Linked DNA regions of Notamacropus eugenii. The protein of the gene in region 1 binds, or shares a complex with, the protein of each later gene. Links are inferred from orthologs where the notes say so. Each region holds a gene or a part of one and is shown in the gene's direction. Other genes may lie near its edges.

The links.
Region 2: the proteins of MIOS (region 1) and CASTOR1 are in contact, whole or in part, in a cryo-EM structure (PDB 9LVK), measured with the Homo sapiens proteins. The link is inferred for Notamacropus eugenii from reciprocal best matches to the Homo sapiens genes MIOS and CASTOR1. Residues at the interface, in NP_001357005.1 of Homo sapiens: Ala83, Asn84, Val109, Pro110, Lys111, His112, Ala113, Arg114, Asp134, Lys135, His136, Arg137, Asn184; in NP_001032755.1 of Homo sapiens: Val94, Ser116, Thr117, Tyr118, Gln119, Thr120, Asp121, Thr188, Tyr236, Leu255, Thr256, Ser257, Ser258, Ala295, Tyr296.

What each region holds. Positions count from the first base shown.
Region 1 is NC_092874.1:2,061,037-2,068,925, forward strand, and holds the start of MIOS (GATOR2 complex protein MIOS), read left to right. Parts: upstream 1-4,887; coding exon 4,888-4,995; intron 4,996-5,216; exon of another isoform or gene 5,217-5,289; intron 5,290-5,417; coding exon 5,418-6,750; intron 6,751-7,000; coding exon 7,001-7,099; intron 7,100-7,889. UniProt on the Homo sapiens protein: As a component of the GATOR2 complex, functions as an activator of the amino acid-sensing branch of the mTORC1 signaling pathway. The GATOR2 complex indirectly activates mTORC1 through the inhibition of the GATOR1 subcomplex.
Region 2 is NC_092875.1:15,130,531-15,137,444, forward strand, and holds the start of CASTOR1 (cytosolic arginine sensor for mTORC1 subunit 1), read left to right. Parts: upstream 1-3,914; 5' UTR 3,915-4,096; coding exon 4,097-4,209; intron 4,210-5,099; coding exon 5,100-5,170; intron 5,171-6,914. UniProt on the Homo sapiens protein: Functions as an intracellular arginine sensor within the amino acid-sensing branch of the TORC1 signaling pathway. As a homodimer or a heterodimer with CASTOR2, binds and inhibits the GATOR subcomplex GATOR2 and thereby mTORC1.

The sequences.
Region 1 (7,889 bases):
GGGAGGGGAGGCTTGGGAATGACTCTGCCCTCTGCTGTGATCATGTTTATTAACTTTTTGGTCACCATGACGGATTTGGCTTTCTGGTGTTTAAGTAAATGTTTTTCTTCTGCCTTCTATGTGGAGAGTCTATACTTGGTGATTGAGAACTATGCTGATATGTTCATGGTCACCACCAGTGCTGTGAATATTGCCTTGGTGATACACAGGGTGGGACAGTGACTGTTCTGGGGGAGACAAGGTCCAGATTAGGGAGATGGTATACACAGAGCAGGAGAAGGCAGGAGAACAAGGAGTCACCCAATTTGACTGAAGCATAAAAAGAATATGTAGGGGGAAATTATAGGTTGGAGCTAGATTTTGAGGAGCCTTGAATGTCAAACCAAGGAGTTCCTATTTTGATAAGTAATAGGGAGCCAGGAAGGTTATTGAGCAAAAGGGTAACATCAGTTACTTAGTCAAGAAACATTCATTAAAACTCCCTCTGCCAAGTACTGAGGAGACAGTCCCCTTCCTCTAGGAATGTCATTATTATGGGGGAGTCATAAATGGAGGTGAATAGAACCATAGACCTGGATATGGAGCAAGGAGAAGGCAGTCTCAGCACCTCCTGCAATACGTGTGTTTTTTGAGTTGGGTCTTGGAGGGAAATAGAGGCAGAGATGAAGAGGGAGATCACCTGTCACCAAGGTAGCTGGGCAATTAACAAGATAATCTTGGGATCTGAGCACAGGGTGGGCTGGGAGGAGGGAGGGGAGAGACCAGAGGTAGGGAGACTTAGTGGAAGGCTGCTCCTGTCCTGGAGGAAAGAGGTAGGGAAGCGGAGGGAAGCATCTTGGGAAAGGACAGAGTACCCCCACCCCCAACCTCCACTGGAAGTCCCTCTTCCTTCCATCCTCAAGGTCCCTCAGAGCCCAGGCTGGAAGGGTTTGCCGACAGGCAGCATCCCAGTGATTCTGGCCAGCCCAGAGGACCAGTGCAGGGGGGAGTGGGGGAGGGGAGTGAGGAAGGGGGGGCTGAAGACTGGCCACAGCATCTGCCACCAAGACCTGTCCAGCAGTAGGGGCACTTGAGAGGTGGGGCCAGCTTCCTCGAACACCTGTCTTACTGAAGAAGGGTCCCCCCGCCCCTTGTGCTGTTTCATTAAGGCCCACCTCTCATTGTTTGGCTGATGCATATCCTAGCCTTGGCCCCCTGGCTCTCCCTTCTCTGAACTGGGTCCTGAGCTCCGGCTGGCCAGCCTGAGCACGTCTCCAAAGGCCAAGAGCCTTCCCATTATTCCCACCAATTGCCCCTGACCAGGGCTAGGCTGGGCCATCTTGGAATGGATTGGGCACCACCTAGTGGGCATTGACTGAAGGGCCAAGTCTGAGTCTGATATGGTGGAGGGTTCTGGGTCGGGAGGCCCCCCACCCCAACCCCCACCCCCAGGGCTCAGAAGGCCCAAGAACAGGCAGGCAGCAAAAGGAGGCTGGAATGGAGGGAACCTCGCCTGGCTGCGCTGGTGAGGCCTCCTTCCATTCAGTCATTCTGCTCTTAGGGACATTTATGGAGCACCTGCTGTGTGCCTTGCATTGGGCTAGATTCCAGAGTGGAGTGGGTGGGGTATGAGTGTGAGTTTGTGTGTCTGTGTGAGTGTGTGTGAGTGTGAGTGTGTGTGAGTGTGAGTGTATCTGTGTGTGTCTGTGAGTGTGTGAGTGTGTGTGTCTGTGTGAGTGTGTCTGTGTGTGAGTGTGACTGTGTGTAGTGAGTGTGTGTGTGTTTGTGTGTTAGTGTGTGTGTGTGTGTGTGTCTGTGTATGTGAATGTGTGTCTGTGTGTGTGACTGTGTTTGTAGTGAGTGTATGTATGTGTGAGTGTGTGAGTGTGTGTGTGAGTTTGTGTGTTAGTGTGTGTGTGTGAGTCTGTGTGTGTGACTGTGTGAGTGTGTTTGTGTGTATGTGTGTGACTGTGTGTGTGTGACTGTGTGTGTGTGTTTGTGTGTGTGTGTGTGACTGTGTGTGAGTGTGTGTCGTGTGTGTCTGTGACTGTGTGTGAGTGTGTGTGTCTGTGTGTGAGTGTGTGTGACTGTGTGTGAGTGTGTGTGTCTGTGTGAGTCTGTGTGTGTGTGTGACTGTGTGTGAGTGTGTGTGACTGTGTGTGAGTGTGTGTCGTGTGTGTGTCTGTGTCTGTGTGTGAGTGTGTGTCGTGTGTGTGTCTGTGTCTGTGTGTGAGTGTGTGTGTCTGTGTGTGACTGTGTGTGACTGTGTGTGTGTCTGTGTCTCTGTGTGAGTGTGTGTGAGTGTGTGTGAGTGTGTGTGACTGTGTGTGAGTGTGTGTCGTGTGTGTGTCTGTGTCTGTGTGTGAGTGTGTGTGTCTGTGTGTGACTGTGTGTGACTGTGTGGGTGTCTGTGTCTGTGTGTGAGTGTGTGTGACTGTGTGTGTGTGTCTGTGTGTGTCTGTGTCTGTGTGTGTCTGTGTCTGTGTGTGAGTGTGTGTGACTGTGTGTGAGTGTGTGTGACTGTGTGTCGTGTCTGTGTCTGTGTGTGAGTGTGTGTGACTGTGAGTGAGTGTGTGTGACTGTGTGTGAGTGTGTGTGACTGTGTGTGAGTGTGTGTCGTGTGTGTCTGTGTCTGTGTCTGTGTGTGAGTGTGTGTGACTGTGTGTGAGTGTGTGACTGTGTGTGAGTGTGTGTCGTGTGTGTGTCTGTGTCTGTGTGTGAGTGTGTGTGTCTGTGTGTGACTGTGTGTGACTGTGTGTGTCTGTGTCTGTGTGTGAGTGTGTGTCGTGTCTGTGTCTGTGTGTGAGTGTGTGTGAGTGTGTGTCTGTGTGTGACTGTGTGTGAGTGTGTGTCGTGTGTGTCTGCGTCTGTGTCTGTGTGTGTGTGTGTGACTGTGTGTGAGTGTGTGTTGTGTGTGTCTGTGTGTGTCTGTGTCTGTGTGTGAGTGTGTGTGACTGTGAGTGTGTGTGACTGTGTGTGAGTGTGTGTGACTGTGTGTGAGTGTGTGTCGTGTGTGTCTGTGTGTCTGTGTGTGTCTGTGTCTGTGTCTGTGTGTGAGTGTGTGTGACTGTGAGTGAGTGTGTGTGACTGTGTGTGAGTGTGTGTGACTGTGTGTGAGTGTGTGTCGTGTGTGTCTGTGTCTGTGTCTGTATGTGAGTGTGTGTGTCTGTGTGAGTCTGAGTGTGAGTGTGTGTGACTGTGAGTGAGTGTGTGTGACTGTGTGTGAGTGTGTGTGACTGTGTGTGAGTGTGTGTCGTGTGTGTGTCTGTGTCTGTGTGTGTGTGACTGTGTGTGAGTGTGTGTGACTGTGTGTGAGTGTGTGTCGTGTGTGTGTCTGTGTCTGTGTGTGAGTGTGTGTGTCTGTGTGTGACTGTGTGTGTGTCTGTGTCTGTGTGTGAGTGTGTGTGACTGTGTGTGAGTGTGTGTGACTGTGAGTGAGTGTGTGTGTCTGTGTCAGTGAGTCTGTGTGTGTGTGACTGTGTGTGACTGTGTGTGTGTCTGTGTGTGAGTGTGTGTGACTGTGTGTGTGTGTCGTGTGTGTGTCTGTGTCTGTGTGTGTGTGTGTGTGAGTGTGTGTCGTGTGTGTGTCTGTGTCTGTGTGTGAGTGTGTGTGACTGTGTGTGAGTGTGTGTCGTGTCTGTGTCTGTGTGTGAGTGTGTGTGTCTGTGTGTGTGTGTCTGTCTGTGTGTGTGTGTGAGTGTGTGTGAGTGTGTGTGACTGTGTGTGAGTGTGTGTCGTGTGTGTGTCTGTGTCTGTGTGTGAGTGTGTGTCGTGTGTGTGTCTGTGTCTGTGTGTGAGTGTGTGTGTCTGTGTGTGAGTGTGTGTGTCTGTGTGTGACTGTGTGTGACTGTGTGTGTGTCTGTGTCTCTGTGTGAGTGTGTGTGACTGTGTGTGAGTGTGTGACTGTGTGTGAGTGTGTGTGACTGTGTGTGAGTGTGTGTCGTGTGTGTCTGTGTCTGTGTGTGTGTGTCTGTGTCTGTGTGTGAGTGTGTGTGTCTGTGTGTGACTGTGTGTGTGTCTGTGTCTGTGTGTGAGTGTGTGTGACTGTGTGTGAGTGTGTGTGACTGTGTGTGAGTGTGTGTCGTGTGTGTCTGTGTGTCTGTGTGTGTCTGTGTCTGTGTCTGTGTGTGAGTGTGTGTGACTGTGTGTGTGTCTGTGTCTGTGTGTGAGTGTGTGTGACTGTGTGTGTGTGTCGTGTGTGTGTCTGTGTCTGTGTGTGTCTGTGTCTGTGTGTGAGTGTGTGTGACTGTGAGTGAGTGTGTGTGACTGTGTGTGAGTGTGTGTCGTGTCTGTGTCTGTGTGTGAGTGTGTGTGACTGTGAGTGAGTGTGTGTGACTGTGAGTGAGTGTGTGTCGTGTCTGTGTCTGTGTGTGAGTGTGTGTGACTGTGAGTGAGTGTGTGTGACTGTGTGTGAGTGTGTGTGACTGTGAGTGAGTGTGTGTGACTGTGTGTGAGTGTGTGTGACTGTGTGTGAGTGTGTGTCGTGTGTGTCTGTGTCTGTGTCTGTGTGTGTCGTGGGGAGGAGGCCACTCTGGCTGGAGGCAGGGGAAGGAGGGGGAAACTGACGCCGAGCTCGAGACCCCCCTCCCAGCCCAGACCTTCCTTGGGCTGGGGGTCACACGGTCCCCCACCCTCCCCAGCAGTAACAAGAGAACGAGGGGGGAAGGGATGGTGCGGGGACGGGCCTGGGGCGAGGGGCGGGACGGTAGGCAGGGCCTGAAGCGAAGGGTAGTGATGCTGAGTCCGTAGGGGGCGGGGCCTGGAGGGAGGGGCGGGCCTGGAGGGAGGGGCGGGGCCCGGTGGGGCGGGCACAAGTCCAGGTTCTGCCCCAACTCACGAGAACCAGAAAGAGAAGTGGGAAGTGGGCATGCGCAGAAAGGCGGGGGTGGAGGCGGGCGCGCATGCCCGATGACTTTCTCTGGCCCACGCGGCTTCCGTAGTGGGCTGGGCGCGTGCGCAGAGGCCCCGCCAGAGGCCGCCGGACGGAGTGGAGTCCTCCCGGGGCTCCTGCGCCAGGTGAGTCCGCAAGGTGCCCGGGGCTCTGATGGGGCCGCTGCAGGGCCTTCTGGAGCCAGCGCTTCCTCCCTGGGGCGGGGTGGGGGCAGGGCCCGGGGAGAGAGGCGTGGGGCGCGGCTGCTCCCTCCCATCCCGGGCTCCCCCGGTCCGTGCTCCTTGTCTCCCGCCACCGGACCCTTGGTTCTCTCGGGCCCATGCCGTCCCCTGTAATTCTGAACTTGAGTAAAGGCTCAAGGAGATGGAACTGGGACTGGAACCAACACTAAGTATGCACCTGCTGTGTGCCACGCACAGGTGAGGAGCCGGGCCCGAGGCCAGGCTTGTCCTGACCCTCCAGATGACCCTCAGGTGGGAGGGAGGGGGTCACTGGGGAGTGGCAGGTGGTGGGGGCCACTCTGACCGCAGGCTCGTTTTCTGCCCAGGATTTCCCGCAGGACCTCATCGGGAGGCCAGCCGTCATGAGTGGGTCCAAGCCAGACATCCTGTGGGCACCGCACCAGGTGGACAGATTCGTGGTGTGTGACTCGGAGCTGAGCCTGTACCAGGTGGAGCCAGCGGGCAGCTCCGAGCTCAAAGCCGGCTCCTTGAGGTTGTCGGAGGACACAGCGGCCACCTTGTTGTCCATCAACTCGGACACTCCCTACATGAAGTGCGTGGCCTGGTACCTCAGCTACGACCCCGAGTGTCTGCTGGCTGTGGGCCAGGCCAACGGCCGCGTGGTTCTCACCAGTCTGGGCCAGGACCACAACTCCAAGTTCAAGGATTTGATAGGAAAGGAGTTTGTCCCCAAACATGCCCGGCAGTGCAACACCCTGGCCTGGAACCCGCTGGACAGTAACTGGCTCGCCGCTGGCCTAGACAAACATCGGGCTGACTTCTCTGTGCTGATCTGGGATATCTGTAGCAAGTACAGCCCGGAAACGACAGTTCCTTTGGAGAAAGTGAGGCTTTCAGCAGGAGACACTGAGGCAGGGCTGGTGGTGACAAAGCCTCTTTATGAACTGGGACAGAATGACGCTTGTCTGTCTCTCTGCTGGCTGCCCCGAGACCAAAAACTTCTCCTTGCTGGCATGCATAGGAACCTGGCTATATTCGACCTTCGGAACACGAGCCAAAAGATGTTTGTGAACACCAAAGCTGTCCAGGGAGTGATGGTGGACCCCCACTTCCACGACCGCGTGGCTTCTTTCTACGAAGGTCAGGTGGCCATCTGGGACCTTAGGAAATTTGAGAAGCCCGTTCTGACCCTGACAGAGCAGCCCAAGCCTCTCACTAAAGTCGCCTGGTGCCCCACAAGGACGGGGCTGCTGGCCACCCTCACGAGGGACAGCGACATCATCAGGCTGTATGACATGCAGCACACACCCACACCCATCGGAGACGAAACCGAACCGACCATCATCGAGCGCAGTGTGCAGCCCTGCGACAATTACATTGCTTCCTTCGCCTGGCATCCGACCAGCCAGAATCGAATGATCGTGGTGACGCCCAACCGAATCATGTCAGACTTCACCGTGTTTGAACGCATCTCCCTTGCCTGGAGTCCAGTCACCTCCTTAATGTGGGCCTGTGGCCGTCATCTCTATGAGTGCACCGAAGAGGGGAGCGATCCTTCTTTAGAAAAAGACATTGCCACCAAGATGCGCCTCCGGGCTTTGTCCCGCTACGGCCTTGATACCGAGCAGGTCTGGAGAAACCACGTATTAGCTGGAAACGAGGACCCTCAACTAAAATCACTCTGGTATACTCTGTACTATATCCTTTGAAATGAAAACCCTGACAGCGTGAGGGCCAGCGGAGATTGGCAGTGTGCTGTCTAGAGAAGTGCCTTGTATCTGGCGGACGGGGGCCTCCCCAGCTGCTTTTAGTGTGTGGGAGGGAGAGAGGGGTCTGGATAAGGCATTAGAGTGGCCTTAGCCCAGACACCAGTTCTGTCTTGATTGGCCCTCATTCAAAAGGAAACTTCCTCCAAGCCAGCCTTAGTATTTCCTATGCATTTCAATACTTATGAAGCAGTACACTGAAGATTTGGACCCGAAATCTCTAGGCCACAAAGGGTCACTGGTGTATGCAGGTATTAAAACCATCGTGAAGTCATCCTTGGGTAAGGACGGCCCTTTCTCTTACAAATATATTTAACCATTTTGGAGTGTTCTTTACACAGTGGGTAACATGGTGGGGTTTGATGTATCTATTTCAGTAAATGATACTGAGTTAACGATTTGGTTAGGATTTCTTCTCAAGTAACCTTTTGCGGGGAGGTGGTAGCTGGTGGGTCTTCCCTTCGACTTGAACCATTGAAACCCTCGGTTCTTGGTGGGCCCAAGCTGAGGCTCCCTTAGTTGGGGCTGGATGAGCTCCTTTGGAACTAGCCTTGCCAGGAACCCCCCCTGAAGGCAAGCATTTTCCTAAGCTCTCTGCCCTGCCCCCACCTTCCCTTCCTTCACCATGTTGGCTGTCAGGGCAGAGCCTGAAACAGGAAAGTCATTTTCTACCTGAGAATTTTAAAATTATTTTCCTTTTGTATTAAGAGTGAGACTTTTCATTTAATCCCGAGGATTTAACCTTTATGAAGAGAGACAGTATGTCAGTACACAGAGAAGCAGGAAGTCCTGGGTTCAAGTCCTGCTCCTGATACAGGCTGAGCAAGTGTCCTCATTTCTTGGTGCCCCCAGGGGTGGGGGAAGCTTCCTAGCTGCCTTATTTATTTACCTTTTTTACATCAGTGAAATAATTAGTTTGTTGTGAAAAAGTTTTATTTTCAAACAGCTGTCCTGTGCCCCCCACCCCATGCCCATGTGACTTCACCACAGAAGGAACTGATGGCTCACTCAGGCAGACCCTCAAACCCTCAAGCTCATGGGGTGCCGGGACCTCGCCCTCGGACAGCAGCT
Region 2 (6,914 bases), on another chromosome or scaffold:
TTCTATCCCTAAGTCCAGTTAGATGTCTGATCCATGGGGTGGGCTGTGGGTATAGAAACTGGTCTTGGGAATGGACCTTAATCATGCTCCCATCCACAGTGACCCTAAGTCTGGATCTGCGGAGGAGAATTAGGACCTCCAGGCATCTTGGATACTGTTACCCCTGTTGGCCCCATCTTTGGATTCATTTATGAAGCTCCTACCATGTCAACCATTGGGGACACATGGACAAAAACAGGAAAGTCTCAGTCTTCAATGAACTATTCCACTGAGGATAATGGAATTATTAATATTGTTCCATCAATTGACAAATTTATTAATCATTTTTTATGTTCTGGTCACTGCTATGTTATTGGAGATACAAAGGCTAGAAGTGAGGCAAGCCCTGCTCAAATTGTTGGGGAAACACATCCAGATAGACAGGTGTCCCAAAAGTCTTAGTGCAGTTTTAACCGAGTAAAACTTTAAAATGTCACCCAGACTTTTGGGGTACCCTGTATAGCAGGGGATTCTGGGATACAAGGTGGTTGGATGTGGGGGAAGGGTGAGGCAGAAAGTATAAGTTGGGGTGACTAGCAGAGACATCTGGGAGAACATGGCATGTGAAAAAAGGGTGAGGAGGTAGAATTTTCCAGGTAGGGAAGACAGCCTGGGTAAAAACCGATCATTGGAGTTGGGGGTTATGTCTGGACCAACCAGAAAGCCAGTTTGGGGCTGAAAAGGTAGGTTAGATCCAGTCTGTAAAGAGTGAGATTGACTGATTTCTGGGGGTAATAGGGAGCCATATAAGTTGCTGGAGTAATAGCAGCTACTCAGATCAATAAATAATTGGAATCAGGAAAACTATAGATTGGTTAAGTGCTGATTATATGCCAGCCACTGTGCTAAATGTTTTACAAGTATCTCATTTTTATCTTCACAAAGGCTTCTTATGAGGTGAAGGTCAATTGGAAGTAAGTCCTAAGCATGCAGGATAGATAGAGCCTTTGCAAAGACTGGAGAGAGATTATCCAATTCCAGGGAAAGTGTAGAACAGGTCATTTTGTCTGGAATGGAGGGTTTGGACAGAGGATGCAAAAACAAGTAGACTGGGCTAGTTGGGAAAGATGTTCAACCCGAGGAATGTATATTTCATCCCAGAATTCGGAATTAGGGAACCAGTGGAGTCCTAGTGATTATCTTTAAGACATGGAGGGAGGTTTAGAGGCTGGAGGCAGGGAGGCCAGTGAGGAGGCTATCGTAATAGCCCTGAGACTGGTCTTTTTTTAAAAGGACCAATGACATCCCAGAGTGATGACCCCCACGTGAATTGGATTTAAGTGAAGCAGACAGGCACAAAGTGGTCAACCATACTCCCTGAGTTGTCGGGGTCCAGGGGCAGGACAAAAATCGAGAAGACAAGCAGTGACCAAGCTCTTAAGTGCTCCACTTCATCTTTAGAACAAATTGTTATCCCGCCATTGTTCAGGGAAGTCTTATTTCCCACAGCTGAGTTTCACGGTACCTGCTTCTTGGGGATTGGGGGGGAGCGGAGTTTTCACGTACTTGGGGTGGACATTCTGACTCCCTGATGCGATTGAAGCCCATCACTGACCCTCAGCCTGGTTTAACCTATTTGCTGAGATGGCTTTACCGGGATGTGGCTCCTCTACATGCTTCTTGGTGTCACAAGTGACAGTTGAGTGGCAGGTGGGCACCAAAGGTGGATGGATGAATGGCCACTTGGCAAGTCCTCGCCCCAGAGGATGCTCATCCTCTTTAGACATGCCAGACTTCATATAGGTTTGAACTGGTGTCATTGGGTGAAGAGGGGCGCCCCTGAGAGATGGAGAAGTACAATGGCCAACTAAACAGATGTGAGGCGTCCAGTGGGTGGGGGAACATGGCGGATTCATAGAGGACTTAGAGCCTGGGAAACTGGAAGACAACAGGACTGAGTTGGATCCATAGAAAGTGGGTAGGAAGAGGAAAGAAAATGAGATTTTCAATAAGTATGAGATCTGTGCTCTGGGCAAACTTGGTCGTAGGGATCTTTCCTTTGCGCGTGCACAATATGTGCTTTGCTATCTATAAAGTAAAGATAATTGTTCGTCCCTGGAAAGAACCTTAGAGGTTGGGTCAGAGGCCCTGAACTTCTGTTCCCTACAGACCTGCCCCTGAGGTCTCTTCTAGGTCCGGATCCTAGGAAACCTCAGGGGAATTGGGTGATAGACGCTGGAGGCCAGGCATGGTGGAGATACTGAGCAGGAGCAGAGCATTGTCACACCCGCTACGGGACTTCTGGGTAGACTTGGAGGGGGCCGTTTCATTTGGCTGGGGGCGGTAGAAGCCAGATTGCACAGGACTGATCAGACAGTGGGAGGCTCTTAGAGGGCAGAAGTTTTTGGAGTTTGGCTGTGAAAGGAGGGAGGAGAGATTGGAAGCTGATAGCTTGAGGGAGTGGAGCTGTCAAGTGGAAAGTTCTGAAGCTGAGAGGACTGTGGAGAATTTGTTGATGGCTGAGAGGGAGGAGCCTGGAGAGGGTGGGGCTTGAATGGGGCACTCTCGAGGGGGCCGGGTGGGTCCTTCAGAGGGGAAGATGGGATCAGATAAAATCCCTGAGGAGAATGAAGGAGGGCTGGGGTAGAAAAGAAGGAAGATCTTATTTTGTACAAAGAGGAGGCCCTCTGCTGAGTGGGGGTGGGCAGGAGGAGAAGCCCTGGCATCCTGGGAGGCTGAAGGAGGTTTTGAACAGTCAATTAAAGACGAATAGAGAGATCAGATGCCAGCAGAGGGAGCCTAATGGGGATTAGATAACATAAATTTGATCCTTGGCCTGGGAGTCAAGAATTTTTCCTTGGTTCTATCACGTTTAGGCTCTGGGTCTGACGGAAGGGATCTGGGAGGTGGCTGGGCAAGAGGGAGATTCTTGGGGGAAGGAGGGTGGGTTTGGTCTTTATGACCCTGTGTGTGAAGAGCAGAATTCAATACTCCTTGCCTGCCCTTGGACCAATGGGAAGACCCTGGAATGCCTTCCCCTTTTCTAACCGAGAAATAGGAGAACTCTTGTCCTTGAAGGCGAAACCCATCTGCCATCTCTGGCCCATCTTCAAACACATACTGGTATATATTCCATTTTTCTCCCCCAAACTGCCTTCTTTATGGTTTTTCCTCTGGATTTTACTTTACGGATGGTATTCATCCATTTCACTTAGAATCCGCTGTGGACTGAGCTCTGGGAAGGTGGGGAAAACGTACCGATTACCGACAGTAAAAGGTGGGAGAGGGGGATCAGCACTGGAAAGAGCCCCTGGGGACCTGGATGCAGCTCTTGGGAAGCACTTTGGGGTCTTTGGCCCTTCTCCCATTCTGAGCCCCTAAAATGAGGACGTTGGGCCTGTGACCTCTGTATTTGGGTGGGAGGGAGGTTTCACACTCAGACGAGGGGGTGGGTCGGCGTGCTCCACCAGGAATCTAGTGCCCTGTGGCCCCAAGTCCGCCCCTGCCCTTATTGGAGAGGGGGAGGGTCCGTCGAACCGAGTAAGTTGGGAGAGCGGAGCTGGGGGTCTGTTCTGGGCCTGTTCTCTGCCCCCCTTCCCCAGCCACACCGTCTGGAGGCTGGATCACCCCACCTGGGTGTGGCCTGGACCACCCTGCCCAGACCGATCCTCGCGGAGCCCTTCCACTCCGAGGCAGCCTCCTAGGGTTCCTGGACGTGGCTTTGCGTGGCCCCCGGGACGCGCGTGGGGCCCGCCTCCTCACCCCGGTACTTCCACCCCTTCCAGATGGGCCAGCCGGGGGGGCGTGGCCCCGAGGCTTTGGCTAGGGTATTGGCTGAACCCCAGCGTTACGAGGCCCGGGGCGTGGCCTAGGGAGTTTCGAGGGGGCGTGACGGGGGCGGGCACTCCGGGGGCGGGGCCGAGCGGAGCCGGAGCTGGGGCAGCCTCTGGCGGAGGAGGGCCCGGGGCCTGGCGCTGGCTGGGCGGCTGAGGGGCCCGGCAGCAGCAGCCGCAGCAGCAGCAGCAGCAGCCGCAGCAGCAGCAGCCGCAGCCGCAGCCGCAGCCGCAGCCGCAGCGGCCCCCTCCCAGCTCCCAGCCCCCGGCCTCCCGGGCCCCCGATGGAGCTGCACATCCTGGAGCACCGGGTCCGGGTGCTGAGCATCGCGCGCCCCGGACTCTGGCTCTACACGCACCCGCTTGTCAAGCTGCTCTTCCTGCGCCAGCGGAGCCGGTAAGGCTGAGGCCAGAGGAGGGGGCCCCTCCCCCAGCTCGGGCTCTGGGTGGGTCTGGGGGTAAGGCTGGGGACCACCTCGCTCCCTCTCGCCTTCCAGCCCCACTATCGCCTTCGATTCCCGAGCCACCTCGGCAGGCCCTTATTATCCCCACTGTACAGAAGGGGCCACTGAGATGCGGAGAGACTGTAGTGACTTGTCCAGAGACGCCCCGAAGCCGCCCCTCCCCACCCCCCAGCTTGCTTGGACTTGTCCTTGTTCTTAGACTCGCTGTATTAACGGGGGCGGGGCGGGGGGAGGTGTTGAACGTCACTGCCTTCATGGTGGCTCTTCCAGCCCACTTGGGGCATTCTGTGAAGTCTGAGTTCAGGCACCACCTGGGCTGCATGGTAGCGGGCTGACCTTCCTTGGGCCTCACTTTGCTCTCCGGTAAAATGAGGGAGTGGGCCGCTGTGAGCTGTTCTAATCTCTAAGGGGCCTCTCAGCTCCAGCATTCTTTGGGTCAGTGGGTCAGAGGGATGAGTACCAGCAGGGGTCACCCTCGCCAGCTCTTGGGAAATTGCTTGGGAAGTGGTTCCTTCCCCTGCACTAGTAGCCAAAGGACTGGCTTGTATGCCTCCTTCCCCAGGATGGGGATTCTGGGGTGAGCTTAGGGAACAGCCGGTATCCCCTGTACCCATCATTCCCCTTCACCCTCTCCTCATGGGCAAGGGTTTCCAGAGGACCCAATCGGTTCTGCTTGACTGGAGCCTGGGCAGAGTCCACTCACTTTCTTTGAGTCTGGCCCTTCCTTTGCCATTCCTCCCTCCCCTCTGCCTCTGGACTTTGGGATCCAGGGGGGATGAGGGAGTGCCTTGCCTTGGCTCATGGAGTGGTCCCTTTTCCTTAGGTGCAAGTTTTTCAGCCTGACAGAAACCCCTGAAGATTACACCCTAATGCTGGATGAAGAAGGATACCAAGGTACTGGGTTCCAGTTTCTCCTCCTGGTCTCCTGAGGCCCTCTCCCCCAGACTCTTCCAAGGGGCACCCCTTGGCTGGCCTGTGTGGGCCAGGCACACACTGTCATCAGAATGCTTAAGACAGGTGGACCGGGGCTGGGGCAGGAGAGAAGGGTGGATGCAGCAGGGCCCAGTAAAATGGATCTGAGCAGCACCTGGGTCCCTGCCCCAGCTATCCCAGAATGGACTGGAAGTACCCTGGAGAGGGGGTGAGCCACAGTGTCCAGGACGTTCTGGGGCAGCCTTGTGGTACCTGTTCCCTTTGGATCTCAGTTCTGCTGTGGCTTTGTGATACTGGCTAAGTCACTTTCCTTTCCCAAGATTGCAGTTTCCTTTTTAGTAAAATATTAATAATAGCACACAGCTATGGGGAGCTTTAAGAGAGCGCAAAGCACTTTACCCACCAGACTCCATGTCCTGTGCCCCCTTGGGGCACGTTGGCACTGGAAGGTTCTGATAATTGCTGTTTTCAGAGGTCCCCCACATCCACCTCTGCTCCCTCCACTCCAGGGTGACATCTTGCAATCAATCCAGTATCAGCTGAGGGCCTGGGAGGTCTGGGGGGTAAATGGGAACCAGCAGGTGATGGAGACAGATGAAATGCAAGATTTTCCAAGTCTGGACCCAACACGTGGGCTAGATGTGGTGTAGATGAGCCTGATCCCTCCACTGGAAGCTGCCTGCCTTCCCCCCCCTTTCTATTTCCTGTTGTGACCTCAGAGACAGGGCCTAGGGCCTAGTGCTTGGGGGTGCTGCTTGCCCTGTGCCTTCTGCCTGGCTTAACTTCCCCACAAGGGGCCCATCCAGGAGCAGGCCCTAGGTGCCCAGGCTCTCAGTCCCAGGCACTGACCACAAATGAAGTCAGGAGAAGAATGACAAGATCTAGAGTGAAGAGAACTTCCAAAGGCATCCGGTGCAAACCTTTCTGTTTACAAATGAGGAAACTGACACCCTAAGTTGGAAAGGGACATGCCCAAGGTCTCACAGGGAATTCCCTGGGGCAGAGCTGAGATCTGAACCCAGGTGCTCTGTTCATCTCTCTCTTATCAGTTGCAAAGTAGTAGTGATTCCATAAACTTATCAAGCACATGCTCTACTACTAAAGGGGTTATAAAGACAAAAATAAAACATCTGCCCTCTGAGGAATTTATATTGTACGGGGGGAGGTTAGCACATAGTAATGATAATTAACGTTTATAATGCTATTTAAGGTTGGTGAAGTATTTTTTCCTTTTTTTTTTTTTTTGAGGCGATCGAGGTTAGATGACTTGGCCAGGGTAACACCTCTAGTTAGCGTCTGATACCAGATTAGAACTGAGGTCCTCGGAACTCCAGAGCAGGATACTGTATCCACTGTGTCACCTAGCTGCCCCACAAAATATCTTTTTACTTTGATTTGATGTACACAGTGAAGTAAATGCAAAGCAATGCAAGTTATTTCAAGAGGTAGAACTCACAGCCATGGGGATATATTGTATCCATTGCTGCTTTGGTGGATAATATAGGTCAGTTTTGTTACTGTTGCCATTTTTACTATGCTGACTTTACCTAGTCACGAACATTGACTCTCTCCAGTTACTGGGAAAATGAGTATAGTTGGCCTTTTCTAAGTCTGCTCTTTCAGGGTCTGGTCTGTTTTGCCGTGCTTGTGACTTGTCTTCTAGCCCTCTTCAGGCTGGGGATTTGGGTCCCTGGAGTCCTGCTCA